Linked DNA regions of Drosophila melanogaster. The protein of the gene in region 2 purifies or fractionates together with the protein of the main gene of each other region. This does not show direct contact. Each region holds a gene or a part of one and is shown on either strand. Other genes may lie near its edges.

Evidence for each region.
Region 1: the proteins of Esp (region 2) and CG5447 purify together in Drosophila melanogaster (affinity purification with mass spectrometry, with the first as the bait; one large-scale study listed by BioGRID). This does not show direct contact.

What each region holds. Positions count from the first base shown.
Region 1 is NT_033777.3:26,445,813-26,462,545, reverse strand, and holds CG5447 (uncharacterized protein), read right to left. Parts: upstream 10,013-16,733; 5' UTR 9,889-10,012; intron 9,693-9,888; 5' UTR 9,686-9,692; coding exon 9,524-9,685; intron 9,458-9,523; coding exon 9,305-9,457; intron 8,978-9,304; coding exon 8,837-8,977; coding exon of another isoform or gene 8,798-8,836; 3' UTR 8,638-8,797; intron 8,567-8,637; 3' UTR 7,961-8,566; downstream 1-7,960. Other genes in the region: CG14238 (uncharacterized protein), read right to left, coding at 1,799-2,006, 2,067-2,270, 2,332-2,400, 2,453-2,651, 2,708-2,859, 2,923-3,468, 4,000-4,193; CG14237 (uncharacterized protein), read right to left, coding at 5,304-5,669; Pdf (Pigment-dispersing factor), read left to right, coding at 6,483-6,791; CG43117 (uncharacterized protein), read right to left, coding at 7,506-7,733; Hex-t2 (hexokinase testis 2), read right to left, coding at 10,315-11,166, 11,255-11,863; Hex-t1 (hexokinase testis 1), read right to left, coding at 11,995-13,392; tx (taxi), read right to left, coding at 13,852-15,006.
Region 2 is NT_033777.3:24,828,652-24,845,523, reverse strand, and holds the start of Esp (epidermal stripes and patches), read right to left. Parts: upstream 3,590-16,872; 5' UTR 3,054-3,589; intron 1-3,053. Other genes in the region: CG33658 (uncharacterized protein), read left to right, coding at 4,361-4,582, 4,641-4,808, 4,860-5,015; sosie, read right to left, coding at 5,821-5,912, 6,035-6,211, 7,327-7,473, 8,307-8,451; CG43273 (uncharacterized protein), read right to left, coding at 14,672-15,085; Kaz (katazuke), read left to right, coding at 15,670-16,854.

The DNA.
Region 1 (16,733 bases), 1.6 Mb from region 2:
ATCATTGTCTCAAAGACTCCCCCAAAGAGCGGGATTATTCTCGGACAAAAGCTGCTGAGGCCCGCTGTGGTTTTGTATTTCTTCATACATACATAGACGACTAAGGTGTCTTAAACGCAAAACAACAACGACCGAAAACAAAACAACACGTGTGGGGGGCGGGGGGTGGTGCCCAAGGGGGGCTAGGCGTGCTGAGGGGGCGTGGGAGTTGTAACTTTAAGCCGCGGAAGCCTTAACCTTCACTACGCGTGCCCAGATAAAAATGCGCTTGAAGAGGTAATGAAACGAAAATGAAAACGAAAACGAAAAGAATCGGAAAAGGAGCCATAATTTGTGAACTTTAAGGCCGCGAACGTGTTTCGAGTTCCAGATTATCCAGTGCACTCCCTTGTATGTATATATACATACATATATATATTTGTCTATATATACCATATATAATTTGTGTGTGGGGTGAGCCAATTTGTCGGGGCAATTCGCACTGTAACTGTGATGAGTCCATTTGCCAAAGGTTTGTCAAGTATTAATTGAATTATTCACAGAGCAAAAAAAAAAGACAGAAAATTCACACCTGCGCCACATTATAGCCATTTAAATTTTAATCGGCTTGACAACTGTTTTTTGTTTGTCCGGTTAATAGTTAATAAAGTCTGCCAAAGGGAACCTTTGTTGTTGTTTTTTTTTTTTTGAGGGGTATATGGTATATGCTATGTAGCTGCCGTGATTTATTGATGGGCACTGAGAGACGGCACTTGCAGATATATTCAAGAGTTCTTTTCGAAGAACATTTCTTAATAGGCATTTATCGTGCGTCTATATATCAAGTATATATGCGATGGATCCGACAAAGCACGCTCACTCGCACACACACTCATTCGCATACACACTCTTGAACTTACACACTCGACAACAACAAAGCTTCTGGCGTTACGCGAGGTTTTTTCGAAAAGCGTTGCGAATCCGAGAGGAGCGAAGCGAAAATCGCGTCCGCAGCGTTTGGACGCTCGGCAGCAACTATTGTGCTATTACAAAAATACACGCTCTCGAGAAATCTCCAACTAGAGCCCTCCCACCCCCCAAACCCCACACACACATACACACACTCACGGCAAATATCACAGCTAACTGTGTGTCAACAAAAGTTTAGCAGCAGTTCGCGTTGCTAAGCTTTTCATGCGGCAAAGAGAAAGCATTAAGAGAATTTCCCCACGTTGAAAATTTAATCAAGAGAGCTCCATTTTAATGCCAACGGAGCTGCCAACTTATCGCTGTGGAGCCCGCGTATTTATTATCCATTCAAATATGCCATAGTGTAGCTTATACAAATATATCAAAATATATCGAGCACTAATCAAGAAAATAGCAAATGCTAGCTTATTTGGAAGCCTACAAACAGCCTTAAAATATTTTCGTGCAGATGTCATGTTAATTAATATAAAATATTCAAAGGAGCACAGAGTTTCAGCACTATTAAATTATACATCAAATTTGTAATAAAAATGTTGTGCAAAATGCAGAAGAGATAATGCAGAAATGCGAAGAGATAAATGTTTCAAAAGTATTTAAAACTCACTGCAGTTTCTTTTGTATCTCACAACATTTTAATGTAAAAGCGTAAGCATGTGGTATTTTCATGATTAACGCTCGGTGTGTTTGCAATCAAATTATAGACCTGCCCCTTGGGGTCTTACAAATCTGAGCTCCCGGAGCAGCGGCGCAGCCACTTGAATGCTGGCAAGTGACTGCCAAAAAAATCGATTCCCTAACGTCTGGCGTTAGTGCCAAAAAAGTGCCTCATTCACGACGAGTCCGAGCTGGAGGACGAGGAGCTGGAGGAGCTGCTGTCCCCGGAACTGGTGTCGCTACTACTTCCGCGGTGCTTCCTGCGCCTGGCCTTCTTCTCGTCGATGACCTCGTAGCTGGGCAGAGTGGAGTTGCTGGAATCGGAGCTGCTGCTGCTCGAGCTGCTCGACTCCTCCACGACTGCCTCAATTTTGCGGGATTTTCTGCGGGAAATCGGATCATAAGTCAAAGGATAACCAGCCAAGTCCCGAGATATTACCTACTTCTTATCGTTTTTATCCGCGTTCTTGCGCTTCTGCTTTTTGGCCAAGTCGCAGTCACTGGGTGAACTGCTGCAGGTGCGCTTGGACTTCTTGCCCTTCTTGTCCTTGCGGCGAGTGTCCTTGTCCGTGCCACTCGCCTTCGTGGAGTACAGATTCTGCGAGCTGGCCGTGGAGTAGCCAGTATCCTTGCGTTTGCGCTTCTTCCTGGAATCAGTGGGTTAATCTAAATTCTCTTTTTAATGTCACAGTTGAGCTCAAGACCCACTTGTCCTTCTTGTCCTTCTTCTTTTTACTGTATACCGCCTCCTGCTCCGCATAGTCCTTGTCCTTGGCCCTATAAATAGTTGATGCAGTTCATTAAGGATCTAAATTACATCCACACCTACCTTTTGATCTTCTTTTTGACATCACCACCCCTTTCGTTGGATATCATGTAAATGCTGTTCTGATCAGCATCCTGCACTTTTCGACGAGATTGAAACTGACGTGACTTGGCCATTCGACTTTCACGCCGATTTTTCCAGAACTCGGCGTTGACCACATATAGCCGATAAAGCTGCAGGATGATCACCAACGAGTTTTTGCCTAATAACATATATGTAAGTAATAAAATTACGCATAAAAATATTTATAATACGTACATGTAAAGAAGACGTTCATGTAGTTAATGATTTTGTACTGGAAGATAATCAGCAGGCGAAAGGTGAGGAAGGGCGCATCCTGCAGGATCACATTGAGTACGATGCCCCAAACATCAATGCCACAGCAACAGTTCTGGCAACAGTCTGTATGTCTGCAGAATAAAGATTCCCATGATCATTTACATTTTAATAATAAAATGATTAAATATACGCACTCCTCCTTGTGATGCGATCCACTGCCTCGTGGTCGTCGTCCTCGAGTGGCGGACAGCACGATGGTGAACTGCATGAGGCTCCAGGACCATATGCCCAGTGTAAGGAAGACCAGGAATCCAATCTTTGCTATCGAGTCATCCTTGTAGGAATCGAAAAATTCAATAATATCCGCCGCCGTGCCAATGTAGACCAGGAGCAACTGGCTGAGCTGATCCCTGGTTAGATCGCCCTTGGGCAGCAGCCAGCGACCAACGATCAGGATGAGCATGAGGAACTGCTCGATGAGGGTTGTCCAAGTGTCCGGGGTCACCGAGAGGGTGACCCCGGCCTGACCCAGCAGAGTGGCCACCGGTGGCACGCCACTGCTGTTGGTGCTGGTGATGAAGATGGTGGTGTTGCCCACGGGAATGCTGTAGTTGCTCGGACTGTAGACCGTCGAGTTGGTCGATGTCATGTTGCCCACCCGACGTGCTACCTTGTCCAGCTCCAGCAGCCATATCGCCGGCACAATGCTGCTCAGGTAGAGGAAAACCGAGGGGCAGAACCTGCGGACAAAGGACACAAATGAGGTGGCACAGCCGAACGGCCAAAACAAACAACAAGTCTGAGTGATGCGACGAAAGGTAAACAAGAGTCAAAAAGACTCCATCCCCCACGAAATTCCATTAAAGTTTTTACTAGTACAAAGTGTGAGGTGGACAGCTTACACTTGAAAAAAAGTACACCCCGAAATGATAATACAAATTGGCTTTAAGATACAAAATTCATAGGATTTCCTATTTCTAGATTCAATTCATATGCATATTTTTATCCAAAAATCCTATGTAAACTACATTGTGTTGTTTGGAAATCGTGGCTACTTTTTTTTTGAGTGTGGGGGTGCGGCCGCAGTGTTGGTGGTTTCTATGAAAGTGGGTGGCCAGGTTAGGCACACATTAAACACATGATTTCACTTTTAATTGAAAATCAAAACCCCGCGGCATGACGTCAGCATCGACTGACTGTTGTTTACATTTCGAGTTGGGAGTTTTAATCAGATGCCTGGGGTAGCCAGGATCCGTGGGTTTCATCCTTACCAGCGCCACTCCTGCGTCTTCTTGATCATGATGGTGAAGATGCCCTCGAGCAGCAGCAACAGCAGTGGTCCACATAGTGCCCAGTATATGATATCACTCTTTAAAGCCACCACCTGCCAAATGGCCAGCAGGCTGTGCGCACTGAAGATGATCCTCGTGAGGATGGCCTTGATCGTCGAGATTATCTTGGCCATGGCTGCAATGACATAATCCTCTCGTGCTCGCTTCCTGCAGCTCGGATAATCAGGACCGAGGAATACCACCAAATCGACCCGAACCGACGAAGCGAACCGCACACGGCGAAAAGGTAAACGCAACTGACAGCAGAAATCGCGGGGTCCCAAATGCTTTCATTAGATGTTTAAACGCTTTTTAAGAAATTAAGGACACAGCCGCGAATGGCGCGTAATTGGTGAATGGCCACGGACCCCCGTCCCGATGTCCTGTGTGTGCGTTCAGGACGAATCATCTTCGGCTTGTCCAGGGACGAACTGCAGACCGAAAAGTAAAGATTCTTCATAGTAAGGAGAGAGTAAAAAATATGGATCTTAAATAAATTCTAGCTAATAATAACTTTCTTAATATATTTTAAAACCTTTTTTTTCCATTTTAATATATGGGAAATTAAGTTTCATTTACTTTCTATACTCTGATGTGACCAAGACGCTCCTGGAAATGTCTTCCCAACCGAAATCGAACCCATGCGTGTTTCACTTATGTGTGCCTCCAAGTCACACCACGACCATTAAATGCTTCAGCTGACTTTTAAGACGGCAAACGGTGGACGATAAACGCGGAGTCCGCGTTCCACCCACCGGATTTTGGGTCTGGCCACAAATGCAGTGCAAACAAATCGTCGGAGTGAACGACGCCGAGCCTTGGCCATCAAACTGCTGGGTAATGTGGCTGCATGGAAAGTTATAGTCATCGTAAACCTACCCCGTCGAGATATATCCGATGTTTGCCCATTGGTTGGGGGGCGGAGTTGGGTCAATGTTTTTGCCGCACGTGAAGTCATTGAACAGGCATAAATAAAGGATGATGTGCGTTGTGTGACTGGGCACAGCCATGCTAGAAGGGGCAACCTGTTGATGGGAACAAAGAAAATTTCAAATAAGGTAAGTAATTTGGCATATATTACGCATACGACATGTGCAACAACCATTGGGGAATCCTTCGCTTTTCACACGTTCTAGTACTGACCTTTCTATTATCCTTATGGTTTTAAATACTCAGATGTTTTTTTTTTTTGGAAAATTGCTTTTATTGCATGTATGGATATGACTTGATGTGGATTTTGGAACCTAGCCCTGATTGCGGCGTCGCAGCAGCCTATTGAGGCTGCGCACACTGACCCGCCTTCCGGAGCGATTCCTGGTCCTGTTCCTGGAAGTGGAACTGGCACTGGTGTCACGGTAGACGCGCACCCTGCGCTTAATCGAGTACTTGAGGTTCTTGATCCTGAACCGCTTGCGATGGACCTTCGAGGAGGAGGAGGAGGAGGAGGAGGACGCGGTGGTGGTGGTCGTGGTGGCTGCTGTCGTCGTGGTGGTGGTGTCACTGTCCGTCGTGGTCGTCGTAGTCTCCGTGGTGGTTGGCGATGAGGCGTTGGTTGCCCAAATGCATAGGCTTATCGCTAGGATTCGGAGTGCCAGTTGTCCTGTCTTCATGGTGTGCTCGGTGATGCCGTTGCTCGGATGAACTACCACTTCGGAGGCTGGGAGTTTTATATGTGACCAAGACAATTGGCGGAATTTCTCAGCAAATATTTGCATTTTGCTCTCGCCAATTACGTCCGCGCGAAATTTTTTGGCCATATTTACACAGTTTGGTGATCAAACAAAGGAACAAGCTGGAATTTCGCAAAACGGCCCAACTGCCGAGCTAGCTATTAAGTTTTATATATATTTAAGATTGGTATTTTTACGAGCTTCGTTCTAAAATTAATCACACAATTACACAGAGAGAAAACGAATTGAGCAAAATATTATTCACAAATAAGGTTCGTTTTAATGGAAGGTCAGCAATTTTGTCTGCAATCGTATATTATTTAAATCCAATAAATAAGTTGGTTTAAAGAAGTGCCTAAATTGGGTATCCTCCTTTTTTTTGAGTGCCACATGGAGTCGCCAGTGAGCTGCCTTCCCGTACAAATATCGCTGGACTTGAATGGGATTTGGTGCCTGCATGTTGGCACATAAAACACTGCATAACCAAATATTTGCGTGGCTCCAACTCGACTCCGTATTTGCCTGGGCTAAAGGACCGCCGCTGCCTGCGGATGACATGTATTGGTCCTGCGGATGACACCGATACTGACGCTCTTGGGTTGCGTGGTCGGGCGGTCTCCCGCAGTGGGTTATCCAGTCCAGGTTGCTATATAAGTCGAGGATGCGCCAACCGACGTTCATTCGCAAGTCTCCTGCTGCAGGTGTTCCGTGCTCAGTTCCTGCTCCTGGCCATCCTTCCAGCTCCTCGGACTAATGGCTCGCTACACGTACCTTGTCGCCCTTGTGCTTCTGGCCATTTGCTGCCAGTGGGGATACTGCGGCGCCATGGCCATGCCGGATGAGGAGCGCTATGTGCGCAAGGAGTACAATCGGGATCTCCTCGACTGGTTCAACAACGTGGGCGTGGGACAGTTCAGTCCCGGCCAAGTGGCCACTCTCTGTCGCTATCCGCTGATCCTCGAGAACTCCTTGGGCCCATCCGTGCCCATCAGGAAGCGCAACTCGGAGCTAATCAACTCCTTGTTGAGTCTGCCCAAGAACATGAACGATGCGGGCAAGTAAGAACGGAAAATGCTGAAGGATTAGGACGACCCACCACTGAAAGATGGAACCTGGACAAGAATTTATTATTTGATGTTATAGTATGATTTTTTGGTGCGTCGAAGGAAAATGAAAATCCGCAGATAAAAGCCGGTGTAGTCATCTAATAGAGAGAAAAGACCGTATAACTTTTGTTGCTTTAAACCTAAATAGAAAAATATACAAGTAGCCTATTGTAGAAATGTTGTATATTATTAGGCTTACTGCTGAAATAAACGTTTTCTGGATTGTTTCGACTTGAAATCTGGTACAACAACTAGTCAGGATTTTTATTCTTAATCACAGATACTAAAGCTAGTTAAAGATATTGGTTATCCCCGTAAAGGGCGAACCAATGAAAGCCAAAGGTGTTCTCAAAGTAGATTTTGTTCAATGCTACGATTGGAATAAATAGATGTTTCTAGCTTAGAATAGCAGCCCCATTTCGTTTATTGACTTCATTTATTATGCTATATCTAAGCAGTCAAAACCTAAGGAACTTGGCCATGAACTTGGCAAACAAATGCGTAGAAAGTAAACTAAATGAGAACTAAAGTATGTTCATAAAAAACACACTTATAAACAGAAAGACAAAAAGATCTGTATGTAGAAGTATAAATTGTTGTGCCCATTATTAGAAATGTGTTTTCTTTAGGTATTTTTTATTCGCCATTGTTTGGTAAGCTAAAGATCTTATTAACCAGATTTCTTGTTAACATGGATCCTGCGCACTGTCTTATAGTGGAGATTACGGATCGTAAAATGTTTCCTATGAACGGTTGTGGCCTTGGCAGTGGTGGTTGTGGTTGCCTCCGTGGTTGTGGTGTTGGTGGATGTGGTGGAATTGGTCTGGGCTGAGGAAGGCTGCAGCAGGCAGAATCCGGCGAATAGGACGAGCGCCAATAGATAAGTGCTTAGCTTCATTGTGCGGCTTTGCAAGAATCGTGAATGTATAAGACGAGGCTTTAGAGGCCTTTATATATACGAAAGTTTTCTACGCCAGACAATAACAAATATCCGCAGATGATAAGTAAATAGCGAAATACAATTGAAAATCAGCAAAAACAAATTTTGCACGCCACATTTTGCTTAACTTGTTTGCTTCCAATTCGATGTTTACCCGCCGCAGGAAAACAGTTGTAGGCGCGTTTAAATGACGGCAATATATATATTTTTCTTATAAGATATATAACTATGTTAATCAATGTTGCTGATTTATATTAAATATCGAACGATTCTCGATTCGATTTATGTGTAAGTTCATTTGGCGCTGTTTGAAATCGGTAAGTATTGTATAGAAAAAGTTATGCGTATGCATTATGTCTGATTAAGCTTGAACTATGTGTGTGTGTATTTATGCAAATGTTAATGCCATATTGAAATTACAACATTAGACAATCGAATTGTTGGCAACTACTACAAACATGATGTATACAATTCTATTCATTTTCAAATTACAAAACAATCAATTCTCGCTGGCCTTTCGGTCCGATTAATAAAACAATTGTAACATATGCGAATGTGTGTATATGTTGATGCTTCTTGCTTCGGCTCAAAATGCAGTTTCGGTAGCTTTTCACTTACATGACTATGCCTGCTATTGCATAAATACTAACTAACTGGCCGTACACTGCCTTGGCTAATCATTAACGGCTAATCTAGCATACAGTATGTGGCTGCAGCGGAGGCACATCTACCAGCACACCCGTGACTAAGTCGCATGCCCCGAAAACGCTCTGGCCACTGCTTTTGCCAAGCTGAAAGGATGCGAAAGTAAATGTTAGTTAGTTCAGTTTGCAATTGAGTGCGGAATATCTGAGATACTCACACATATGGTTATAGGTTATAAAGCTTTAGCTGCTTCCACAGCTTTTTATTGATTTATATTTTTGGAAACGCACTCTGATGGCGCTGACTTTTGCTTGATAATTGCTGAAACGGACTCTTCTCCTTCACATGCCTGTTGATGCGACTGTAGCTGCTCGATCTCACATGAAAAACTCGTTGGCTGAATGGGAAAGCGGAAGTCACGTTCGCCCCGGACGATCGAATATTGTAATCTCTATGACGCGAAGTCCCCGATAAGTGGGATCGATCAGCTGCAGTCCCTTGGTGTTGTAAATGCGTTCATTTTGGGAAGCCACAAATTTGGATATCTTGCGAAGGGTCTGTGGGGGCGAAAGAGCATTAGTATGTGCAGGCAATAGAGCTGGAAGTGCCACTGCCTTATTTTAAACTCGTATAACAGATAGCACGATCACTAATTAGCAAGTAATACTACTACTTGATTTATCAAGTTCTCTGACCTTTATACCTTAAACAGATATGAAAACCTTGAGTACAAGGACATTAACGAGAATAACTTTGATAACTTATACGATCGCATATCGACATTTGTGAAATTGTTGACTCTAATCCCTATTAATAGTTCCCTAGTGGAACTAGACTCTATTGCATTGACCCACATGTGTGTAATCCAAACCCAAATGACGCACCTTTTCATAGTGCGTTTCGGAGCACATATAGATCAAGTAGGCCGTGATGCAGCCAATGCAGCCCTCGCAATAGGTGCCGCAGGATCCCTCCTCCGCCTCGGCGTAGAACTCGTTTAGCCTATTGATGGTGGCCTCGAAGACGTGTCTTTCAATCTGCACGAGAATCGATATGAGTTCGGATGATAATCCCACAGATAATATAGAGTATTATATAGTCACCATGCCCTCCAGCTCAGCGGGCAGCCGTGTATGGAACTTGACGGAGGTGCCCTCGCTGTAATCGCGCTGGATGAAGACCTTGCTGAAGACCACGCCCCCTCCGGTCGCCTGGAGCGCTGTGGGATTACCGCCCGCTGGAGTAGTGCCACCGCCTTGGGACATGTTGTCGCTGAAAAGGCGGATAATGGCATTAATGGCCTCGCTCTGCAGCGCCCGATGCATTTGGTTAAGGGCAATCATCTTGATGCTCAGAGTGGAGTGTCCAAATCCCAAATGGACAGCTGGCCTTGCTTTTTCCAGCACCGCCCGAAATGGGGGTGTTTTGCTGGTCTGGTCGGTGGGGCACGGCCTGCTTGGTTACCCACCTGTTTGTCTTGGCTTGAAGTAATCGCAGTTGGCCTGGAAAAGCTCACAGGAATGCCCTAATTGCCTCAAATTCCTTAAATTGGTCGAGAGATAAATGTTTGCAAACTCCAAGTGTTACCAGATGGCGAGTTGGCTTTTATACCAAAATAGTGTTACCCCATCCCTATCGTTCCATAAATATTCTAAAAATACTGCATGTACTAAAAAATACTATGGATGTGCAGTGTTGCCACTAAGGCAGAAAATTATTATATCTTTGGCGCCATAATTCAAATCGGATTTCTGGACACAATTTTAAGTTTGAAAGGATAATATTAAAAGTTCCCATTATATCCTTAAATCTTTATTTCTTCTTCCATAATTTTGTGCTCATATATCATTGTCCGTAACGTTTCCCATGCATTTGAAGAATATCAACTTCGAATTTAGAGCTTGCTTTTGGCCTGGACTGCGGTGGCCGCCACGAGAGCCGCTCCTCTTCCGGATCCGTCCTCCGAAACAACCAGCTCAAACTTGACGCCCGGCTTGAGGAGCTTCTTCATGTGGTACTGGAGCATGTCGTGGTACTTGGGATGGAAGCGATACACGCTACCGTCTATGCCGATGGCCACCTCGTTGATGTTCATCTTGTTGATAATGGTGACCAGGCCGCAGGCACATAGCTTGGCAGACCTGGAGGACACCGCCTCGCAGATGTATCGCAGGGCCTCTTTGTCGGGTTCCTGGCAGCCCAATATGCCCAATTCGCTAAGGACCTTATTGCAATTGCGATACTCGCCAGGTGCATCACTTTCAACATCGGAAATATAGGCGGTTTTGAAGCTCCATCGCTCCTGGATCTTCTCGGAAATGATGCCGTGGAACATAAAACCCTTGGCAATCATATCGGTGATGACCAAACGTACAAGTTCACCCATATACATGCCCGATATGCACTTTTCGAACGTCTGCTTGCCGGGATTGGGTGTTACCTTGTCGACTGCCTTGTCGTAGGAAGTTCGAACGAACTCCAGAACACCATTGTCCCCAAAGGCGCCCCACTCGCAGTTGATTATCATTGATGGCTTGGGACTGGTCTGGTATCCTTCGAAGCATTCGGCATTTACTGTTTTCTCCACATAGCACGCATTGGAGCCGGTTCCCACGATCAATCCAATCCGGCAGTTGGGATGATAGAAGGCGCAGGACATCAGAGTGCCCACCGTATCGTTGAGAATGGCGACGGTATTGATCTTTAGATCGCCCCTTCGATCGATTGCCTCCTGGAGAAGACTCACCTAGGAATGCATATTAAAAGAAATTCATTTGTTAAATATAAATGTTAATAGAACCACACGTAAATAGTTTGAACGCCATGAAACTCACCACATTCTTGCCCACCACGCCTTCGCAGCTGAATCCTTTGGTCCAGGCCACAAGGATACCCTTGGAGAGTCCCTGCTGCTGGAGCGGAAACGAGAAGGTGAAGCCCAGAGCCAGTGATTCATTCTCCAGGCCATGGGAGTGACAAAACTCCGACAGGCATTCGGCAAGGAAGTCGAAAAGCGCCTTTCCCGATCCGGACATCAGAGTTTGAGGAAAATTATAGCCCTTCGACATGGTTTCCACGTCCGAGTTGCTAATCAGGTTCACCAGAAGCACCCTGAAATTAGAGCCACCCAGATCCAGGGCCAAATACTTTCCCCGCTCCTTGCCAGTGGGCAGATCTTGCACATGGCTGACGAAGCACTTGATCACCGCTCGTGCATGCGTGTCCTTGGCCAGGCCCATCTTTATCTCCTTGGTCATGCGCTCCACCACCTCGGTCATCTTCTCCTGGTCGATCAGGAAGCCCTTGACCGCGGCTTCAATTTCCGTGTTCACCAGGCTCGGCATTTTCCTATTACAGCCTCCACAAACTGTTTTGTTATGAAACAAAATTTTAAATACAGGGCCGAATAGAGAATGAGTTAAAAGTCTAGTTGACTTTCTCATGAGGTAAATTTCAATTCTTGCTTTGGACGTTCTGGTTGAATAACATGGAAAATTTAACAACATGGAAAATTCAAACGTATATGTTGTCATTGTATTTAAGCAGACATAATAAAAATTTTATTTATGCATATCTAGTAGTCCATAGTAAACAATTTCGCGTCCGTTTTGTACTTGTTGGCATGTGCCATTCCCGCCATTATGGCCGCTCCCACTCCGCAGCTGTCCTGGGTGATGACAAACTCGAAGTTGTAATTGGGATCGGCTAGCAAACGGGTGTACTTATTAAGAACGGTGGAAAAGGTCGGATGAAGGCGGTAGATGCCGCCATCCACGGCGATCGAGATCTGTGGCAAGCGCATGCGGTCAATGAGGCAGGAAACTCCACTGGCCACCAGCATGGCAGCACGATTTGTGACCGTGTCGCAGATGTATTTCAAGGCAGCCAGATCCCGTTCCTTGCAGTGACGTATGCGAAACTTGTCCATCACCTCCTGTGCCTTCGTATAGACACCCGGCGGATCCGAGACGATTTCGATCAGCGACACCATGTCCAACTTCCACTGGATCCCTATGTAATCACGCCTGTCCTCGGCAAAGATGGCGCCCGATTTCATCAGGCGAAGCACTATAATGCGAACCAATTCTCCCATGCAAAGAGCTCCACTAAACTTCTCATAGATCCGAGTGCCCGGATTTATGGACTCGGTGTCCAGCTGGCGATCGTATTCGTTACGTATGAAATCCAACTGCCCAGTATCCCCGAAATGGGCCCAATCCGAGTTAATGATCATCAGCTTTCTGTACTCATCACCCTCGTACGTTTCGCACCTTTCGACCCTTTCCACATAACAGCTATTGGCAATACTGCCCATGATCAAGCCAATTCGGGTATCCGGTTGGGCCCAGCACAGAGCCAGCAGCGAACCGGCTCCGACATTGATGATACCCATGACATCGACGGAGATTTCGGGAAACTTGGCCAGAGCATCGCGCAGCAGTTGGACCACATCCTTGCCGATGGCGCCTTGGGCTCCAAACTCCTTGGTCCACGACACAAGGATACCCACATCCAAAGCCAACTTCTTTAGGGTAAAGGCAAAGGCTATGCCCAGCGGCAGATTGTCCTTGTCCACCTTTTTCTCCTTCACAAAATTTGCTATGCTGGTGGCCAGAAAGGTGAAGACCTCGGTTCCTCGACCCGCTGCCACAGTATGCGGCATAATCACGCACTTGGAACTGGTGTAGATATCTCTCTCGCTGCTGAACTTCACCAGCATTATCCTGCAGTTAGTGGGCATCATCTCCAGGGCCAAGAACTGACCACGCTCCCTGCCCGTTGGCAAATCCTGTACATAGCTCAAGTGGCACGGAACGGTCGAACGATCGTGATGATCGCGACTCAGACCCATCGTAATCTCACGATCCATTGCGTTTTTAATCTTCTCAAGATCGTCTATGCTCGGATTGAACAACTTGCAGACCTTGTAGACTTCCGGAAAGTCCTCCTCAGGATTAAAAGTGTTTGCCATTTCGATGTGTGTCTATTGATCTCAAATATAAGGTATGATTTATATTGCGGCTACCTAATATCAATTTCAGAATCGCTCCATTTAAAACTAATAATCTAAGAGTCTACTCTGTTTCATATCTCTGAAAGTTGAAGGATCCAAAATCCCATCACAGAATAGATTGTTTGAATCAACACTGGGTGCTTTATTTACAGGATAACGAGAAATGCGTCACAAAGAAATGCTTAAATCACTAGTTGAGTTGAGCTATCATGTGGATGTGGCGGTGAGCAGCTTTTGCCTTCGCAGGATGTGAATATACTTATCCTGTCAGCTGCTTGCTATGACACAATGAATTCCGCCTCAATGGCGCATCGCATGTAATGGCTAATAGTGAAAGTCGGGTTAAAACTCGCACTCTAACTTAAGACGAGGGTTAGGCTTAAAAGGAGAGTAGTTAGGGTTGCTAAGAAATACGCGTCACGTGAGAAACATATCCGGAAAATCGCTGTGCAGCAGGTCGAATGGATACCCATCCAGAGCGGAGAACGAACTAATACAGGCCGACGGCTGCTGATCGCTGGCAAAGTCGAAGGAATCCTTGGAACTCTGGTCCAGTAATCGCAGACTGAGCTCCACATCCGACTTCTCCAGACCCGACATGGGCAGATCACCTCGGCAACCGGGCAACAGGGATTCCCCGCTGCCAGTGAGTAGACTTCCATAGCCGGGACTTAGACAGGAGAGGGAATCCCCATCGGAGGTATCCAGAAGCAGAGAGTCCAGGGCGCTGATTCCGTTCAATCCCACCAGACTGTCCAGCTCCAGTCCCGGACTGCTACTGCTGCTGTGGCTGTTCGATGACGAGGAGAGCGATGCGTAGGCGGAGGAGGCAGGCGATCCAATCGAAGAGGTGGCGTAGCACGACTCACCGGAACTTATCGGTGGTATCTGGGGCACTATCTTGGCCTGCTTTTGGCTCTGTCTTTTGCTCGCGGCGGAACTCTTCTTACCACTGCCCTTTGTCTTGGCTGGCTTCTTGGCAACTGGAACGGGTAGCTCCACCTCGGCTTCCTCGTTCGCTTCCAAGTCCACTCTCGCCTCCCGATTGGCACTCTCCTCCAGACACTCCCCTATAAATTCGCTTTCATAGCTGGGATCTCGAATCGAGTCGGTCAGCATGGTGATGTACTTCATGGCCAGTCTCAGGGTGGTGATTTTGGTCAGCTTCTCGTTGGTATTGGCCGCATCCTCGCCCTTGATCGCTTCGGGAACACAATGCCTCAGTGTCTCAAAGGCCGTGTTGATCTCACGCATTCTGGTTCGCTCCCTGGCATTCGCTGTTTTCCGACGGTATTTACTCAGTGGCGGTGCTTTCGTCTTGGACTTGGTGGGTGCATTTTTCCTCGATTTACTAGCCGGCTCCGCTATGGGATCTAATTCTAGTTGAAAGTCAGCCAGGTTGGCTGACTCCCCATCCTCGTTGGAGCCCCTCTTTTGTCGCTTCTGTCGCAGGGAATACTTCTCGCCCCGAGCACTGGCCGTCTTCCTTTTGCGCGAATCCTTGGAGTCCGTCGCTCTGGCCATGTCATTCAGATCGGCGTAGTTGTGCAGTTCGTACGTATTGGACTTCATCTGAAAGTGGAGTGCAGAGGCAGACTTTAGTCGAGGGTCTTCTAGGTTATATATATTTCGAACCCATCCCATCCCATCCCGGGGCAATTAACAATTTTGTACTATTTTTCGAAAGACATCGGAGAGCATATGGGGCTTGTGCAATGAAGCGAATCGGTTATTTTCGGACCCACCCCGCCAAAAACTTCCGTAAACGGCTCTCGAATTGGCTTCAATGAACTGAAGTCGATTCTTGAGTAGTGCTTCCGTCATAAAACCCACTGAAGCCGAAAAACCGAGACGAAACGAAACGAAACGCATCAAACCAAAAAACTAATAAATACAATTTAGCAGCGGGGGCAAGAACAAATTGGTCTGCCAAATGAAATTTCTCATTGCTCATTGCGTTGCGTAATCTACAAAATTCCCAGTATCTTCTCGATCGGCCTCTGAGTCATATTTGCCAGCAAAAAACTCTATGAGCTGGCTTCTCAACTCCTAAAAATGGTTTATTCAAGTTGTTGAATTCTGGTAAGCCCATATTAGTTTTACGTATTTCACATCGTATGAGTAATGTAAACGCAAACAAGTGCATTTGTTTTAATGAGTAGGCTACAAATATTTAAAAAAATTGTCATTAATCTTGTTAAGAACTAAAAGTACTTATCCATAAATTTCAAAAGATTTCCTAAGCTGTTAAATAAGTTAGTTTTTGTTATAGCCTTTGAAAATACATACAAAATTCCAATAAAACTTTAATTAGCCTATATAAAACTTTTAACACGAAAGTTCATAAAAATATTTTAAGACCTCGTTAAATTGGCTGCTTTAAAAATATACAAACAAGTATACGGATGAGAAAGAAAAATAAATTATGTTTCGTAAATGCCGCATGAATGGAATTGTTCATAAACTAGCGACTAATTTAAATTTTATTTGCCTTGATGAACAGTTTTTTATTTCTGTAATTAAATGCTTTATCGCAACAGTTTTAGGAATTTTCATAACCAGTTTAATAATTTGCTTAAGAGTGGTCTATTTTAAGAGAACCTCAGATTTTAGGTGTTTTCCTATTTGTCACACAAGATTGTTTATGAAACATGAGTAGATTGTGTTCACTAGCCAGATAAAATTTCCCAGAAATGTTGATTGTTATAAAATATTTTTCGTGAAAGGAAAATGGTGAGTTTTAAATTCCCGTCATTGCCAAGGGCGCTGTCTACTTCATTTCAAATGGGGAAAGTTTTGTGCGGTAAATGAAATGTTTATTATTTTCTTTTGTGTGGTGCGGTAGGTCAGCTATATGAAATATTTTCCCCTCTATCGAGAGTTGAATGCGGGGCGGATACATTTTGCGGTGACTGTTCGGCGGTTGGAAATGCAACAAAGCAGCGCAAAACAAACAACAAAGGCAACGGTTAATGAATGCATTTTAATGCAAGAATTAAGTTACATGAAAATGTAACATGAAGCCAACGCAACGCAATGCAACGCCGTCATTTCCACCTCCCAAACAGTTGCAGATACACATGGTCTGTGCGAATGTGTATGGAGATAGAAATGTTTCTGCATCGATGCTAACGCCCTTGCACGTAACGTGCCTTGGCCTCATAAATCGCCAGTTTGCCATTTTGCCAGCTAGCCAGCTAGTCAGCTAACCAGCCTTCCAACCTTCCAGTTTGCCAGTCTGAATGCAGAGGTGTAAATGCAGCCAGATTGATTGCAGTCAGTTGATCTAAGGGGAGCAG
Region 2 (16,872 bases):
CATAAATATCACTGTCTTTATAGCCCGGCCAAGATCAAAATTGGCAAAGCAAGCGACGGTGCTATATTTCATACCAACTATTTAAAAAGCTTATATGACATCTTATATCTAATAATATGTTATAATGAAATATAAAAATACTTAAGGTTTGCGGTTACCAAGAGATAACTATAAAATGAAAGGGTGATTTACCTAAAAACGAAGTACTCAAACTTTCTATGAGGTATTCCCGTAGTCGATCTTTAAGAGCTCTAACTGCCTTCCACGTTTTGAAACCACTCAATGTTTGGGTATTTTTCGTTCTGCCTTCTCCGTTGTGCATTTCGTTTCCTAATCGCAGTCAAATGACTTGAATACTACGCGTATCAGTCAGCTGGCAAAATAGCATAATTTTTAATGAGTGTACACGTCAAGATGCCGGTAACTGGTTTTATACGGGGACCTCAACGATGATGGCAGACGGTGATCTTGGGGGGATTCTCCAGCTGCCGAAGTCGTCTGCTAATTTTGGATGATGTCAAACAAGCTGGCGCTTCTCACACCGAAAGTATTTTACATCCGAGGGCGTTTCCCTTTGTCTTATTTGTTTTGGTTTGGGCTTGAGTTTTGGTTTATTTTTAACTATTTAAGCGCACAATTAGAAAGTGAGCGAAATGTGGGTGTGAAGACTGAGGCTGACGCATTGCAAAATTTGTGCTAAATGCCATCAAATTGAAGCTTCCTCAAAGTGTATTTAATTCAAGTTTGCATATTCGCACTTAAGTATTACACACATTTTGCCCCATTGACACGAGCTCGAACTTTGCACGACAGCAGGTGTGTGACCCTTGGGTTTCGAAAATGTGGCAAAATATTTTATGGAATTTTGAAGCCGCATTAGATTTCGGATTTTATACATTTATTTTTGTCACTCCATAATTGAGTTAATAAGCCCAACCGAACAGGAAGTACAAATGTTCGATTAATTGTTCAATTACATTTGTTGAATTCGTTTTTGCTGTTCCCTTTTTTCACTGGCTTGTTTTTTTTTTCGCTCAACTGAAATTACAGGGCCAATTGCGAAATACATTTCGCATGACAGCCAAATTCCCACAAAAGGGCGTAACGAACAGCGGGGGGCGTGGTCGATCGCAGCACAATCACATTGAATCGAATCCGAGCCACAAACTGTCGCCCATTTCAATGAAATGCGTTTGGTTTGTTTACCATTTCGATTCGGGCTGTTTTTGTCTATATATGTGGCTTAAATATATCCGAAAGCTGTATTTAACACGATATAGTGCGGATAAGGGGGCTTTACACACTTGGATTTCGCAGGCTGGCAGATAGTTGCACGGAAATCACGTATACAACACGTTGTCCCGCATGCAGACCCAATGGCTTTGGCTTAGATAACTTACGATCTCGCTGGGGAATTACTAAAAGGATTTACGACTTGTAGTTACAAAAGAAAACTATAAGGGCTTATTAAGCTGACTAATTTATTAGATGGCTATAAATATTATTTTAAAATAGAGAACGTGAGAGGACAGATTACTTAATGCTTAACACACAAAATTAAAGTTCGAAGACAAACAGAGTGATTTAAAGTACACCAATTTGTAGTTAGATGTTAATTCTTTTTGAGACCTTTCTTTGTTTAAAATCTAAAAATAGGTTGTACTTGTTATTCAATATTTTCTTTGTAGCTTCTTTTCTTTTTTCGTGGAAGACTTAATTGTTAAAGTCAATCGCAAAGGCACGCGAATTGAATCTGTCCGAATATATGCTGTTTATATACCCAGAATTCAATTTGCAGTTTGTTGACTTTAGACTCTGTTTTTATGAAGATGCCCTGCGCGACTCTATAAAATTTAAGCAAACAAATTCAGCAGAAGTAATTGAAACAACGTGCCAAAATCACAATGCAATTTCCTTGTTAGTTGATTATTATTTGATTATAAGAATGATTAATCGCAGGGCAAGCCAAATTTAATTTATGTTCCCACAAAACGAGTTTCATAATCTATATTAGACGACGATCAAAGTTAGACTAACCATTCGTTTTCAGGTTTAATGGATTTTTAGGGGGAGAACAGCTACCGGCTTTTGTTTGTTTTGAATATTTATGACTCGATTGTTCATATTTGATGGAGCGCAGTATTTGATAAGTTGGCAATTTTTATGCAAAACGCGTTTCCCCCACCGATTACGCAGCAAAGAAAACCAGAAGCGAACTCTTATCTATCCATCCAAATATTGTTTATTTAAGCATCACTTAATCTACTATAGCATATTTGCTTAAGATATGCAAGTCGAGCTCATGTGATGGGTAATTAAAACCGAAATAAACTAGTTTGAGCAGCAATTCGTGGAATTTAAGTGTGAAGATACCTTAATATAATTTCTGAATGTATTTATACTGGATCATTGCATTCAATTATATGAGATTTTTGGAGTCAACATCGTGAATAGGCCACTTTTTTGTAATGCCGAAATAGTTAATTGACATTAAAATGTATTTAGACTTTTCAAGTTAACCAAAGTTCCGCTTGAGCACGTTTTCGCATTTAAGTCACGTAATCTATAAATTAATTTTAACTGCCATTCTCGCGTGTTCTTTTTGCAATTACCACGTTGCAGCCTCTGGAATGCACCATTTAGGTAGCAGAACTATTACTTTTGATTTAATAACTCAGGCACTTCGAGATGCGTAGATGACGAAAATATTTTCAGTGATTCATTTAATTGACACTTCATTGAGGATATCATAAAATTAGCAACTCTTTTCGGGATCCCATAATGGCAATTAGCATGTGTCGTTGGTTTTGAGAGACTCATAAACAAATTAGTAATCGTTTAGTGATAAATGTTAATCGACCGTTTAGACTGCGTCAATGGATTTGGTTTGAAAGAGGTGCTAATGCCAAAATCCGATGCGAAACTTTCGCAATGGGAAATCTCACTCTTTTCAGTACCAAATACTATATATATACCTTGATCTATATGTCAGGGCCACCCATAACTTAGTGTCACTTTCTGATGTCAGAGGGGAAATATTTCGATGGGCTTACCTATTTCGACGGTTTGCAGGGGGGGCGTAAATAGCCCAATTACGCCTGAAATTCCACTGGCTGGCGTTTTTTTCCACTATTCTCTATTGAATTTGGCTGAAACGATGTGTGGCCACCGGAAATGTGATTTCGTTGGCTTTGACTTTGGCGCGCGTCGCACACCTCAAAAACTCAGTTGTGTCCCTCCTTCAGTTCTTCATTGTCAGTGGGTTCTAAATAGTTATAAGTTTGCATATATGAATATGCCACTACTTTCGGAGTCTTTTTTTTATGGCATATGCCGAATTCACATGCAAATCACTGCCGAAATGCACCCATAAAGTCCGAGCATAAATGGTGCGTTTATAATTTGTTTGCACAGACGCGAACTTCGAATTCGTTTCGAGGCTTGAAGTTTCCACGACGAAAATTGCGATCTTGCGGATGGCACAGCCGAATCGGTTAGGGAAACACGGCTAACTAACTGCCCGTTCAGATCTCTGGATCGCCGAAAAGCCCTCGAAGTTGTCACCTCTCGGAGACCAATCGTGTAATTGTGCTTGGGAGCGTGGCGCTGTTTGTTTTTGTGATCCGAGAGTGGAGCTTTGTGTGCCCGCGCCGAGCTTTTCACTTCCACTACAGCCCCCATTTCTCTGCGCTCTTTCACCAAATCCCCGATTGCCCGATTCTCCGATTCTCCGCGAGAAATTTGAAAGTAATCAGCGAATGGGGGCCAGCGAAAGGCGTTGGCATTACAAAATATCCAGCTTGTTAACATATTGAAAACTGTGCTGCTGCATTAAATCTACACCGAACTATTTATAATCAATGCCGTGCATTTAATCGATTTGGGTTGGATAACCGATCGTTTGGACGGAGACGCAAGTGTAGTTAGAAATGGGAATTTCTATTGGGGGGGGAAGCTAATTGTCCTTGGAATTTAAAATACGAGTAGATTTCATATCCGTAGTAAGTCAGTATCACAGCTTATCTGGCCTGAAATCGATTTCATAAATATTGCAACTATGTAAATATTTCCTTATTCATAATCATAAGGGGTATGTTTATTGTCTAATACATGCCTTGCCTTAGGAGTGCGTACGTTCCAGTTCACTGGATCCAATTTTCGTCTGGCTTATCTGCATATAACTAGCAATTAAAGAAATTAAGGTAAAAGCAATCATTACCAAATATTAATTTCAGATTTTTTTCCTGATTTCAATGAGTCCGATATAATGAAAATGTAGCTTCAGTCTCACTTGATATCCGAATGAATTGAAATGTGCTTAGAAAAATACTTTTGCTTCGTGCTTCTATTGCATTTCATCATGATAAACCAGGTCAGAGGTTATAAACAAATTAATAGGCAATATACAATAGCTTTCACTAAAACACAGATTTATTCTCATATCGAGTTCACGAACTTCAAGTGCACATCCATGGCTAAGGACGTGGCCGATATCGAATACTGTTTTCTAAAATCAGTTAATCGAACTTATCAATACCTCTCCACCCGGATTAAGGTATTAAAATTACTGAACAGCCTAAAGGTTAGTTAAGCAAGTTTAGTTGTTTAGCAATCTATTGAGTAAAATTATTATATTTCAGGTGAATTTTGGATTGCACCAGCAGATCAATGGGTATAAGCCCTTCCTATACAACATCACTATTGACGGTTGCCAATTCATGAAGAACACAAAGTCCAATGTAGTCGCCAAATACTTTTACGATTTTATAAGGAATATCAGCAACTTGAATCATTCCTGTCCGTACAACGTAAGAAAGATCGTGTTCCCTATTCCAACTAATCATTCCCACGTTTTTTAGCACGACATTATAATGGAGAAACTTACCTCTGAGACTATTAATTCCCGACTACCAAAAACTCTGCCCTTTCCCACAGGAAACTACATGTTTCAGACCTATTGGATTGCCAATGAAAAGTACCGTGTGGTAACCAAGATATATTTCTGTCATTATTGATGGAAAAGTACTATTCGTTTGGGTTTTTAAAGGTTTTTATTAAATAGTATAGATAACAGCTACGAAGAAAACGGTTTTAATGGGTGAAATTCTTATCTGGACCTGCAACTTGGACATGAAAATATTATTAACTTTTATCGTCTCCCATATTTTATTATTATTATTATTATTATTATTCCATTCGATTATGGGCTGTGAGCTCGTAAAGCTATTTATATTGAATACATACAAAAATTAAAAATGTTTCACATTTGTAATTGCGATGTAAGCGATCTGAATTCACAGTGCTGCTGAAAAGTTGCCTATCACTAGATAATTTCTCTCGATTTTTAGTGATTATTCCTGGACACACACGTACACTCATATAAAATTACAATAAAATGGTGCCTAACATTTGATCTAAAGTTACTTCGGTCTGTCTAGTGTAGGGAGTACGGACTAAGTTCGATTGGGGATCTATGGAAAACGTTTATCAGATAATATAATTATGTATATTGTATATAACGCAACTTTTCGTGAGAAGCGAATAAACTTGACGGTGGTACATATGAAACTTATACAATAGAACGACTTTTAGGCTAATGGCGACGAGTATCTAACTTTCTTAATTTCATTTCCACGTATTTTCTCTTATTTTTTTCGCTTTTCAAGATTTACTTTTCGTATTTTTTTATATGTGAGGGGTTAGTGGTAGGGGTAGGATGATCTTTTGTTTCTGTTGGTTTCACTGAGGCACATTTGATGGATCACTGGGGTAGATAAACGCCAAACTACGTCTTCCGGTTCCGCTTTCGACGATCGCCTTCTAGAAATGCTTTCGCATGTGGGCGGATACCAAAAAGGGCGCCAGAAGTGAGCAGATCGAGACCAAGAAGCTGACCAGGCCCTGAAGATTAGCTGAAAGGCAAAGAAGATGGATTAGGAACCATGATACATCCTATTTTTGTGTGTACTATATTTGTAATACTATGACAATAGTTATAATAGTTATGGAATGTATTGGATGAGAAACCTCTCACCTCCACTGCAGATGTCGTGCAGGATGTCCTCCACATATCCGTTGTCGTTGTCGCAGAGACACAGCTTGGTCTTGCTGGACATGAACTTGGCCACTCCGATGGTGCGGTTGCTGTTCTCGTACTGGCACACCATTCCATCCTCGCAGTCGTTGTTGCTGTTGCACTTGTGACGCAGGCCTGCAAAATGCGCAAATATTATTAAGATATTAGCATACCGCCAGTGGAATTAGCTATACTCCATGCTTATAACTAAATTTAAACCGACTCAATACACCGGTATCATTTAGCAGCCATTTTATTATAATAACGCTATTATGCAGACCTATAATAGTCTGGAAATTCTATACTCTGGTGTATTACAATGTATCCCCGCCAGAAAGTAGATCTCCAACACGGAGAACAACTCCCAATGCCAAAAACTGGGGAAACGTGCATGCAAAAATCGCGTATAACATTTCTTCTGGGCTGTGCATGTCACAAATTGGCACTGCGGCGATTCCCATTACCATTTGCCTCTCGTTTGGGGCCTCGTTTGAGTTGCCCCATCGGAGGAGTCACGACATCCTAACATAAATCCGACATCGACATTGCGCCGCCATAAAGCGGTCCACCTCTGGCCCCGCCAAGAACTGGAGTGGAGCTGGAGGAGGGCTGGAGAACTGGGAAACTAGAGGACCCAAGACCAAAGGACCAAAGAACCAAGGGACTGTAGGGCCAACAATGGCGGGCACATGACCCAAGGATGCCGAGAAGGCAAGTGTGAATCGCGCACGGAAAACTAAATAAATAAGCAGGCAAATAGCGAAGAAAGGTGAAAGTGGGCTTTGGGGGTGGCCATTCTGGAAGGATGCTTCTTTGTTTAATTCTCATTTAGGTGGCGCCTTGGACGCATCACCTCACATGCCACTTGAGGCACTGGCTCATCACGGAGGAGGCCTCCAAGAAAGCAGCGGCCTCTTAAATAATAAATGTAATGTGCATGTCTTAGCAATTAGCTGACTTTTTGTTGGCTGTTCTATTTCGGGAAACGAGCTAAAGGATTCTGCAAAGGCGGGCGGTCAAAGGAGCGGAGATACAGAACATTATGATTAATATTTAACATCAATGATTTTTTAATTTTTTTAACATAAATAAATAGTAACTAACTGACTAGTAACTAAAGCATATCAGCCGCGAAAAATTTATTTTTAGGAATGCTGTTTAAGTGTCAGTGGTTTCTCTAGATTACAACTTGTATATTTATATCCTTGGGGAATATGGGTAAGTACTTTTCTATATAGGTGATACATTACCTTTCAGGACATCTGGACAGCTGCCAGCCGAAGGAGGCGAGTCGTCGCCGCATAGGCAACGCAGCTTGTAGTCATTGGGATCCTTGACGCAGCTGGTGCGATCTATCGCCGTGCAATCATCGTGGGCACTGCACTCTCGTCCTTTAACTGCAATTAATGATAGGAATCCAAGTTAAAAAAGGACACTTAACTAGCCAGTTTGCCTAGCTAATTGCCCACTAATTGTGTGATTATTTGGGTACCAACTTGAGCCAACACAAATCACCGCTTGTCCGCCTATCTATATCTACTCTATCCGTTTCGGTTTACCAACTCCAATCACAGGGATATTACCGCCCCCGCTCCTAATGTCAGGGATTCGTGGAGCGTGGGTTGTCATTGCACTTGAGTGACTTGTTTGATCAATTCTCGATTCGATTTGTGTTAGCAATGTTCTGTGTTCTGTGTCGTGTCGTTCAATCTGTGCTGGCTCTGTGCCATAATTATTATTCCATTTATTTATGAGCGACTACCAAGTCAATCGAATGACAAATGATTGGATCAGACAAACTGGATGGTTGGCTATTTGTTTGGCTAACGACCAGGTGTCTTAATTAGCGGTTAATCGAACTTAAGTGATGTGGGGCTTTATCGGGAAGGTCTAAGACAACGTATATATCACATTATAATGAGAGTCAAGTTAAGTGCATTAAAATAGTTAACTTCTAACTCAAAATCAGTTTTTTAAAACAGAAGTTAATGTATCTCTTTGTTTGGTATTTTTCTTAAAGAATAATCTTATATGAATATTGTTATAGTAATAGTAGTCATATTCACTTATCGGCTAATGCTGGAGTACGAGTTATAGCAAAATTACTGCACGATTACTTTTAAACTCGAACCACTTTTAATCCCTCGCCCAATCTTGACAAGAAACTCCTCTTGACCTTGCCAGCGACTTTGATGGGCCTTTTCGTTACCAACCCCGGGGGTTCTCTTACCAATTGGGACGTGCGTGGGAGGCGGCTGATTGTTGGTCTTGCCAAAAGTGGTCAGAGCCGTGGAGCTGACCCCGAAGAGGATGATGAAGATGCCGAAGAGCATGGTCAGACTGCCGCATTGTGTGAAGCGCTTCAGGGGCTGCATTTTGGAATCGGTAACTAATCGAGTTTTGAGTCGAGACCAGGACTTGAAGAAGTCGGAAAGAAGTCCTTTTTCGGGTCTTATATAAATTCCACAGGACCGCAACGGGTTGCACACGCACTTTGCGAGCTTGAAAAACGGCCCAAAGGCTTTAAATTGGTTTACTTAACGCTTTTTTCGTTTCTATGTCGGTTTCGCGGGCACAATTTTATGCAAATTTTCACACCGAAATCGTTTCCGCTCCGCCAGAAAGTCCGAAGCAAAACAAAACCGCACGAGAGGCGTCACTCCAAAAAATCTCCAATACTTTGGGGCACTCGCTATAGTCGCAACTTCCACTTGGGGTCTTCGGACGGGTAGCTCCAACCAGTCGCCTGCGCGCTCGAAATGCAAGTGAAGAATTCGCGGCGCACACGGACCTTAAGTTGCTGCGATGTCGCTGCTGGTGGCTACTTGGCGCTCGCGCACACCGGCGCCACCTTCCACCTCCCACCTGCCACCATCTGCTACCCATCTGAGTGCTCCTCGCCAGCTAGCCACCCACCGCCCCCGCAGTCCGCTCACCTGCTCAGCCAGGCATAGAACCCCTTTGCCACATTGGCGGCGAATGATAGTCGTCTTCCAGATACCCTTATATCATACTTAAGTTCCCACTCAGCAAATCTTCTTTAATACTTTGTATAATAACAATACATAATATACTTGTATTTATTTTAGTAAATTGGAAGTTGAGATACCATATAGTTATGTACTTATGTTACATGTGTAATTTTAACAGAAGTCTATACTCTACAATTGGAAGTGAAGTTCTGGTTTGTTAAAAACAACAGCTTCATATTTCATTCTTAAAAAAATAACTCATAATATATATGGTAAAATATATACAACTGAATATCAAGTTAAACAATACAGGTTTTTATGCGTTATGGGAAACGATTCTGCTGACGCACACAAAAATTGGCAGCAATGAGCTTCCCACAAAATGATAAAACATTAATTTTAGATGTAGGCAACCAAGTATACATACGTCCAACCAATTGCGGCTGAGTAGAAATGAATTCACGCATTCCGGGACATTCCATAAAATCGGATTCCAGAAGGACAGACACCCGCATGCATAATTAAGAGATCCCCCAAGTGGGCAAAGGGTATTCCACCTAACCAATGTTTCGCTGACAAGAAGCTAGATAGCATGGAATCTCCGGGCAGATTTCGAAACTTTCGCAGGCAGTATGGGATTAGTTTTGGGCCGTATGCTATATGGTATATGCTATATGGTGTATGGAAAGTGAGCTGCGACGCACTTGTAACTGTTTCGCTGCTTTTGTGTATTTCGTGAGCGAGTTTTGTTAACGAAGATGGATTTTTGTAGCTGCCTCACCTTCGTGCACCTGTTTTTATTGTAGCCGCTGGCGGTGGCGACCTCGTCCTTTTCTCCTCGTCCTCGTCTTGGGTGTGTGTGTGTGGCAGTGGGTGTGTGTGTGGGAACTATAATAATGACGAAGGCATTAGAGGCATACGACCATTGCATAGCCTACTTTTTGGGGCCCACGGAGTTGAGCAACAGCCACAACAACAATAAAGTGTAACATTAGCACGCACCAGGCGAAACAACAACAGAAACTGGTTAGTCAAAGGCAAATAGTTATTTTGGCCATTATTCTTTGCTCGCTCCCTAATTTCTCCTGCCGTTGTTTATGATTATTTTTTCCCCCTTTTTTTACTTTTGGGCGCTGCATGGCCCTAATTACATTTGCTAAATTGCCCAGATGAGAGTGGCTTGCTTGTTGCTTTCAACTTTTAACTTTTTTAACTTTCAGCTGCAGAATGCAGCTAAGCTGTCCAAAAAAGAAAGGTGACTGGCCACGCCCCTTTAGCCCAATTTGGCAAGGCACCATTTAGGCGGATATCGAACAGGCAGAAACGGATGCCCAACTTTTGGCCATGTCTGCTTCAATCGTCTAAATATACGAAGCTCCACTTTTCAAACTGAGCCAATAATTTACACCCACCCATTCGAAGAGGAACACTTTGAGGTCAGTTGGGACATGAAGAACTCGCCCAATTTGCCAAACACAAATTCCTTTGCACTTCATGTACTTTCGACCCTCTTCCGACTCCGATTGTGGAAAATGTCAGGCTATATGGGTCCTGGTGCTCCTTATCTGCCTTCTCGATCGCCTTATAAACGATTGCTTTAATCGCTGCGACAGCATAAACAATTTTCTCCAACTAAATGCGAATTTATATCGCACACGCACAGCGAACGGAAAGGAAGTCCAGAAAATATATTCACGAAAATCGGTGGATATAACTAAATGGGACACGAATCTGGTCGGGTTCAAGGACCGTGGAAAGCATTAAGCCAATTTTGGAAAATATATTTCAGATATCCTAATATCTCTGTTTGCTTAACTTATATTAGAAAATTTTTATGATTTTCTTCAAAAATTGTAAAAGGTAAAAAAATTATTTTGAGCGATATTGAAGAGATTTATAAGACACGTGGGTCATTTTAAAGAATTGGATGTACTTAAAATTATTTAAATAAGTTAAAAGGCACTAATTATATTGGATTTCGTAATTGTTTTTCTAGATTTGCCGACTTGACAATGATTTATTCCATAGTACTTTCTCCATTTACGCAAATCCCGCCGCACCGCGTCATTCGGAATGGAAAATATTTATATTTACATGTAAAAATAAGTTCCTTTAATTATTATTCAGCCAGTCCAGTCCATTCAATTCGCCATGCGGCAGAGTCTGAAATTTATTTCGGATATTTATTTCTTGACATTATTGATAAATGTTGCCGGGCACAGCAGAGAAACGGAAAACAAGCAGGAAAATTATATGGAAAACTCACGAAATCTTTTCGCCAAATCAGAAACTGCAGCGAATCGTAGGCGCCGCCAGTGGGTTTTCCCCCTCCCCTCTCCAAGGAAAATGCGAAAGACCACCGTAATTAAAGAACTAATTCGCTTTCAACAATTTGGGCGTCATGTTTTTGCTCTTAACTGATGATTAATTAGTGCGACTGTAGAATTTCTACCAGCGATATATAATTTTCTCACGAAATCTCATCGAGCTGTACACTCATGCCCAGAGGTCATCATATTACTGCTGATTATAACTCAGAGTGCGGAGCATTAGGCCCTCGAAAAAATGCCAATTTAAGGGACTTAATTCCACATTATGGCCACGTCTAATTGCGGCTACACACACACACTCACTTACCTCACTCACTGCATGCAAGTTTGTTTTCGTGCGTTCCAGGACATGCACACACCACATGGCTTAGTCCTTAAAGGACTGCCAGCTCCTGCCCCCGAATGTTGCATGCGCCGCAAGGCGAGCTCTTCGATAGCCGCTGTTACTTGTTTTAGCCTTGTCTGTTGGCCAAGTCTTGACCAAATAACCTTTCCATGACTTTCCCAATTTATCACTCGACACATTGCCACATTGCCACATTGCCAGCTAGCTGAATGCAGCTAAATGCATGCTAAATATATGGGTGGCCAGTCGTATAACGATTATTTCAAGTTCATTTGTTAATGCACACCTTGATTTTAGCAATGGGGCGACACTTTTGGGGGTCTTTCGTCTTGGCCAATTCGCATGTCATGTTGGCTAAAAGGACTAAAGGCGACGCCAGGCTAGTGAAAACATAAAAATACCTACGAAATGTTGGTGCTCACGAACTTATTTTAATAACTCATGCGTGGTCAGGTTAGGACGTCATAAGGTTCTTAATCCCCAAAAGGAATTATAATTATAGCAACATTTTGAGAAATGTCGAGGAATTTAGTGTCGTTTGGATGGTAAACAGTTGTACACGATCTACATTAAAGTCATAGAATTTTATACATTCTAATACCATATTCAACTAGTAATGTTGGTCTGTTTGGCCTACATAAGAAATTGTTAAAATTATATAAGCGTAAGGCAATCAGAAAAACAATAAAAAGTCATACCGCTAACACAATCCAATTATTTTTTAGCCGCATTTCATTCAATAACTGCAAAAATGGTCGCCGCTTCAGACAAAAGCATTCTAAATGCATATGAACTAAAGGATCGTAAAATATCTTTTATGAGGCTATTAACTGGGAAACCTAACCAGAAACTCTACCGAAAGGGCCATACAATTGGAGGATCACAACAATATTAATTGGTAAATTTAATGTCTACCCATTTAATTTCGATGAATACATGACGTTTCCAGTGACCTATCTAAAGGCGAAGCCAAAAACTCATTATCCAAGGCGTCATCATCATCGGACGCTATTCATTACTCACCCAAAAGAACTGAGGAAAGGGATCGGGTCAGATGAAGTGGAGTGGTCAGTGCACACACCCTTCCTGGCGTCCGACAAATATGCAAATTTACGCACATCAAAAAGTGAAAGTTCTAGAGGTGACCATAAAAACCCGAAAAACGCCGGAATGGAGTACCTACTTCTGCGCGAAAAAAATCAATGCAGGCCAGCGAAGCAATGTGGTCAGTGAGGAAGGAAACGGCAGCGAAGGAAAGGGGCAGGAGCAGGAGGTGCCCTCCACTTCTGGGATGGAGTGCCGTAGGCTGCCCCGGCGGTGGAACACGATTAAGCCGCACTGATTATGGGTTACGACCATTTCTTATGGTAGCCCAAAAGGGCCGAAAACATCTACAACTAAATTGCCCAAGTAGCAGGTCCCGAAGAGAAGGACCATTGATGACGGCTCCGCTGCACGCAATCCATGACATCACCAAACGGCTCGGCTCTCTCTCGGCTTTACCACCGAGCTCCAATTGGTTAGGTTAGCAGCTAGCACCATCCGAACTGACCCACCCTTTCCCCAGGCGGGTTCTCCACGGGCATGGAGTCCTTGCTCGACACCAACTGGACACCTGCAAAAACCATGGCAATGCAAATGCAGCTCACTAAGTTATTCTAATAAGTTTTTGTGTCACCCAGGAGCAGTGAACTTGTCAAGTGGATCAGGTAGTGTATAAGTCAGTCGGCCTGAGTGACGTTCTGTAATTGGAATTCAAATTGAAGAAGTGCCTGAATTTAATCGCCTTCCCGCCGGTTGTATTATTAAAATGCAATTTTTCAGAACCCAGGAACCCAGGACTTCTCAGACATGCAATTTTCAATTGTTTGTCATTAGGGAAATCTCGATGTAAGCGCCTGACCTTTTGGGAATAATCACTGCTTGTGAAGGACGGATGCAATGGGTTTTAAATATTGGTTATGCTCCGTTTGGGAAAGGGAAGTCTTAGGATGATCTTGATAAGGTTCCTGCAGCCAGGTAGAAATGTATAGTCCAAAAAGATCCTTCACAATAAATATGTTAGTTAAATCAAATGTAATAAACATATATTTCAAAGTATTTGGACGTTAATTTTCTCAATTTCAAATGCTGACAAAATCCAACACTTTCATGTCGAACTATTGTAATCCAACTAGTTACACCTCACATCCTGGACATATGTTCCAACAAAATGTTTGTTTATTTGTTTGTTTTCGCGTTTTTGCACGGCACGTGTCCCAAATTTACCCGAAATGAGTAACTTCCGTTCCCGGGAATGAAAAATTACTTACCAAAGTCCCAGCATTTGGCCTGCGGACATGGGTCAGGTTTTCATGGATTTTCAATTTTCGCACGTACACCTGGGCGGCTACACCTAATCTATGACTAATTATCGGGGCCCACTTGAACGTGAACGAAAGTCAATGTACCATAAAAGGAGGTTAATTCTATGCAATTTTGCATGGACTCGTGATTACTTTTCCCTCCAGCAGACGTATTAATTACATGGCGGAGCACATTAGGTCAACTCTCGAACTCCAACTAGTCGTAATGCTAATTGCAAGAAATTAGAGTGAGCCGGCTAGTGTATGGTCAAAATGAATCATCCATAAAGAGTTGTGAGAATTTTGCAGATCACTTTTTCATGAAATGAAACGAAATGAATTATTAATATCATACCATAAAAGTAACTGCCTCGTGAATTGAACTATAGTATCTTTACAAATTATTTGCTTTAAAATACTTTTTATTATTCAGATTTATTCAAAAAGTACTTTTTGCATTGGGACATTAAACAATCCCTTTAGATATGTGGCAATACCATTTAATAATTAAAAAAATGTATACTTAACCTAATCTTGTAGATATTTATATTTGTCTAAAGACAGCTCTTCCAGATTTCAGAATTTACCACAATCAAAGGAATTTAGGATTCCTTGACTTCAGGCTCAACGTATTTGCTATACAATAGCTTGATCACTTCAATCTTTCGGGACATCTTGGCTGGGAGTGACTTTTCCAGCTTCTTCAGCATTTCCTCCAATGATCGTTGATTGGCGAGCTCCTCCTTCTTTTTCTCCCGATATCTTTGCTGTCTAAGTCGGTCGGTTTCTCGCTTTGTTTTTAAAACTTTTTTGTTCTTTTTAACCACTTCCTTCAGTTTGCTGCGATAAATCCTACTTCGCTCGGTTTCTCTGGCTCGGTATTCCTGATACTTAATCGGATCCTTTTTGATTTTGTCACGATATCGCTTGGAGTTATCCTTGGTTCCCTTCGTTGCTCCCTTTGATCCAGCTTTCGTTGCTTTGGAAGTCGCACCTCTGGTAGTTGCTTTAACCATCTAAAATTAGTTTTCATTTGCCATATAGGTAAGGTAATAGTTTCAATTACTTACTTTGCCAAGTTAGTCTTTATGTAATCCCAAGGAGATTATGTATATTTATTATCTTTAATTCGTTAGAAAAATGTTTAGAAAAACATTTGTTTATGTTTACTGGGCTTCAATCAGCTGTTATTAGTTAACAGTGCGGCAACAGCGCTGTACACTTTGCTAGAGCTGCCTAGAAGTTTAACGGGAAAACACACAGAAGTATAGCTAAATTTATTTAAATATTATAGAACTTCTAAAACATTATGAAATCGGTTGCTATGCATCCCGGCACTAGAAGGACACCATCAATAAGATTTTAATATACGCACTTTTGTTTATATATCATATTCATATACATCTATTAGTAATCATATAATTAGCGTTAGAAAATAGTTAACTGAACAGCACCTTTTGCTCATTAAGCTGACTGCTGACAGTCTGGCAACTCTTAGCCCACAGAAGCAAAACAAAGCAATTCAAAGAAGGAAAAGAAAACGCAATTGCGTCTCTAAAAAGAGGATAAAACCAAATTGCATCGCAACCGAAACGCAAAAATGTCCGAGATCAAGGCGTTGGAGCACGCCACCCTAAAAGTGCCATACGAGATGCTGAACAAGCGCTTCCGTTCGGCACAGAAGATCATCGACAGGGAGGTGGACCAGGTGATCAATGTATCGCGTCAGGTGGAAAAGGCCCTAGAAGCAGAGGAGGGTCCCATTCTGGCCGAGGTCACCAAGCTGGTGGATAACGTAGCGCAGAAATTGCAGGTGCTCAAGCGCAAGGCCGAGGAGAGCATCAATGATGAGCTGAGCGTCACACAGATCTGCAAGCGCAAGCTGGACCACCTAAAGGGCATTACACCGCCAAGCAGCGTTACAGGCGACCTGTGGCAGGGTTCCGTGGACCAATGGAAGCGGATCCGACTAGACCGCCTGGTCATCGAGCACCTGCTGCGCATGGGATACTATGAAACGGCCGAGGAGCTGGCCGCCAAGTCCGATGTGCGCCACCTGACCAACCTGGACATTTTTCAGACGTCGCGCGAGGTCGAGGATGACTTGGCCAGTCACAGCACCACCAAATGCGTGCTTTGGTGCATAGACAATAAGTCTAAGCTCCGCAAGATCAACTCGACCATTGAATTCAGCCTGAGGGTGCAAGAGTTCATCGAGCTCGTGCGTCAAAATCAGCGTTTTGAGGCTGTGAAGCATTCGCGTCGCTACTTCCCCGCATACGAGAAGACTCAGCTGAATGAGATCTGCCACGTGATGGCCCTGCTGGCCTATCCGGCCGATGCCCAAGCCGAGCACTACCGCAAGTACATGGATCCGCAGCGGTGGCAAAAGTTGGTGTTGGACTTCCGTCAAGAGAACTACCGCCTCTTCCAGCTATCCAGCACGTCCGTCTTCTCGGCAGCCGTGCAGGCCGGTCTGTCGGCCCTGAAGACGCCCCACTGCTATGCTCAGACCTGCCGTAACCTTAACTGCCCGGTGTGTCAGGAGGATCTCAACCGCATCGCTCTCAAGTTGCCATACTCGCACTGTGTGCAGAGCCGTCTTATATGCCGGGTCACAGGGCTGCCGCTCAACGAGCACAATCAGCCGATGATGCTGCCCAACGGACAGATCTTTGGTCAGATGGCTCTGCCGGACATCACCAAAGACGACGGTACCGTCACCTGTCCGGTGACCAATACGAAGTTCTCCAACCCCAAGGTCGAAAAGGTCTTTGTGATGTAAGCGGCACTGGATTCGACG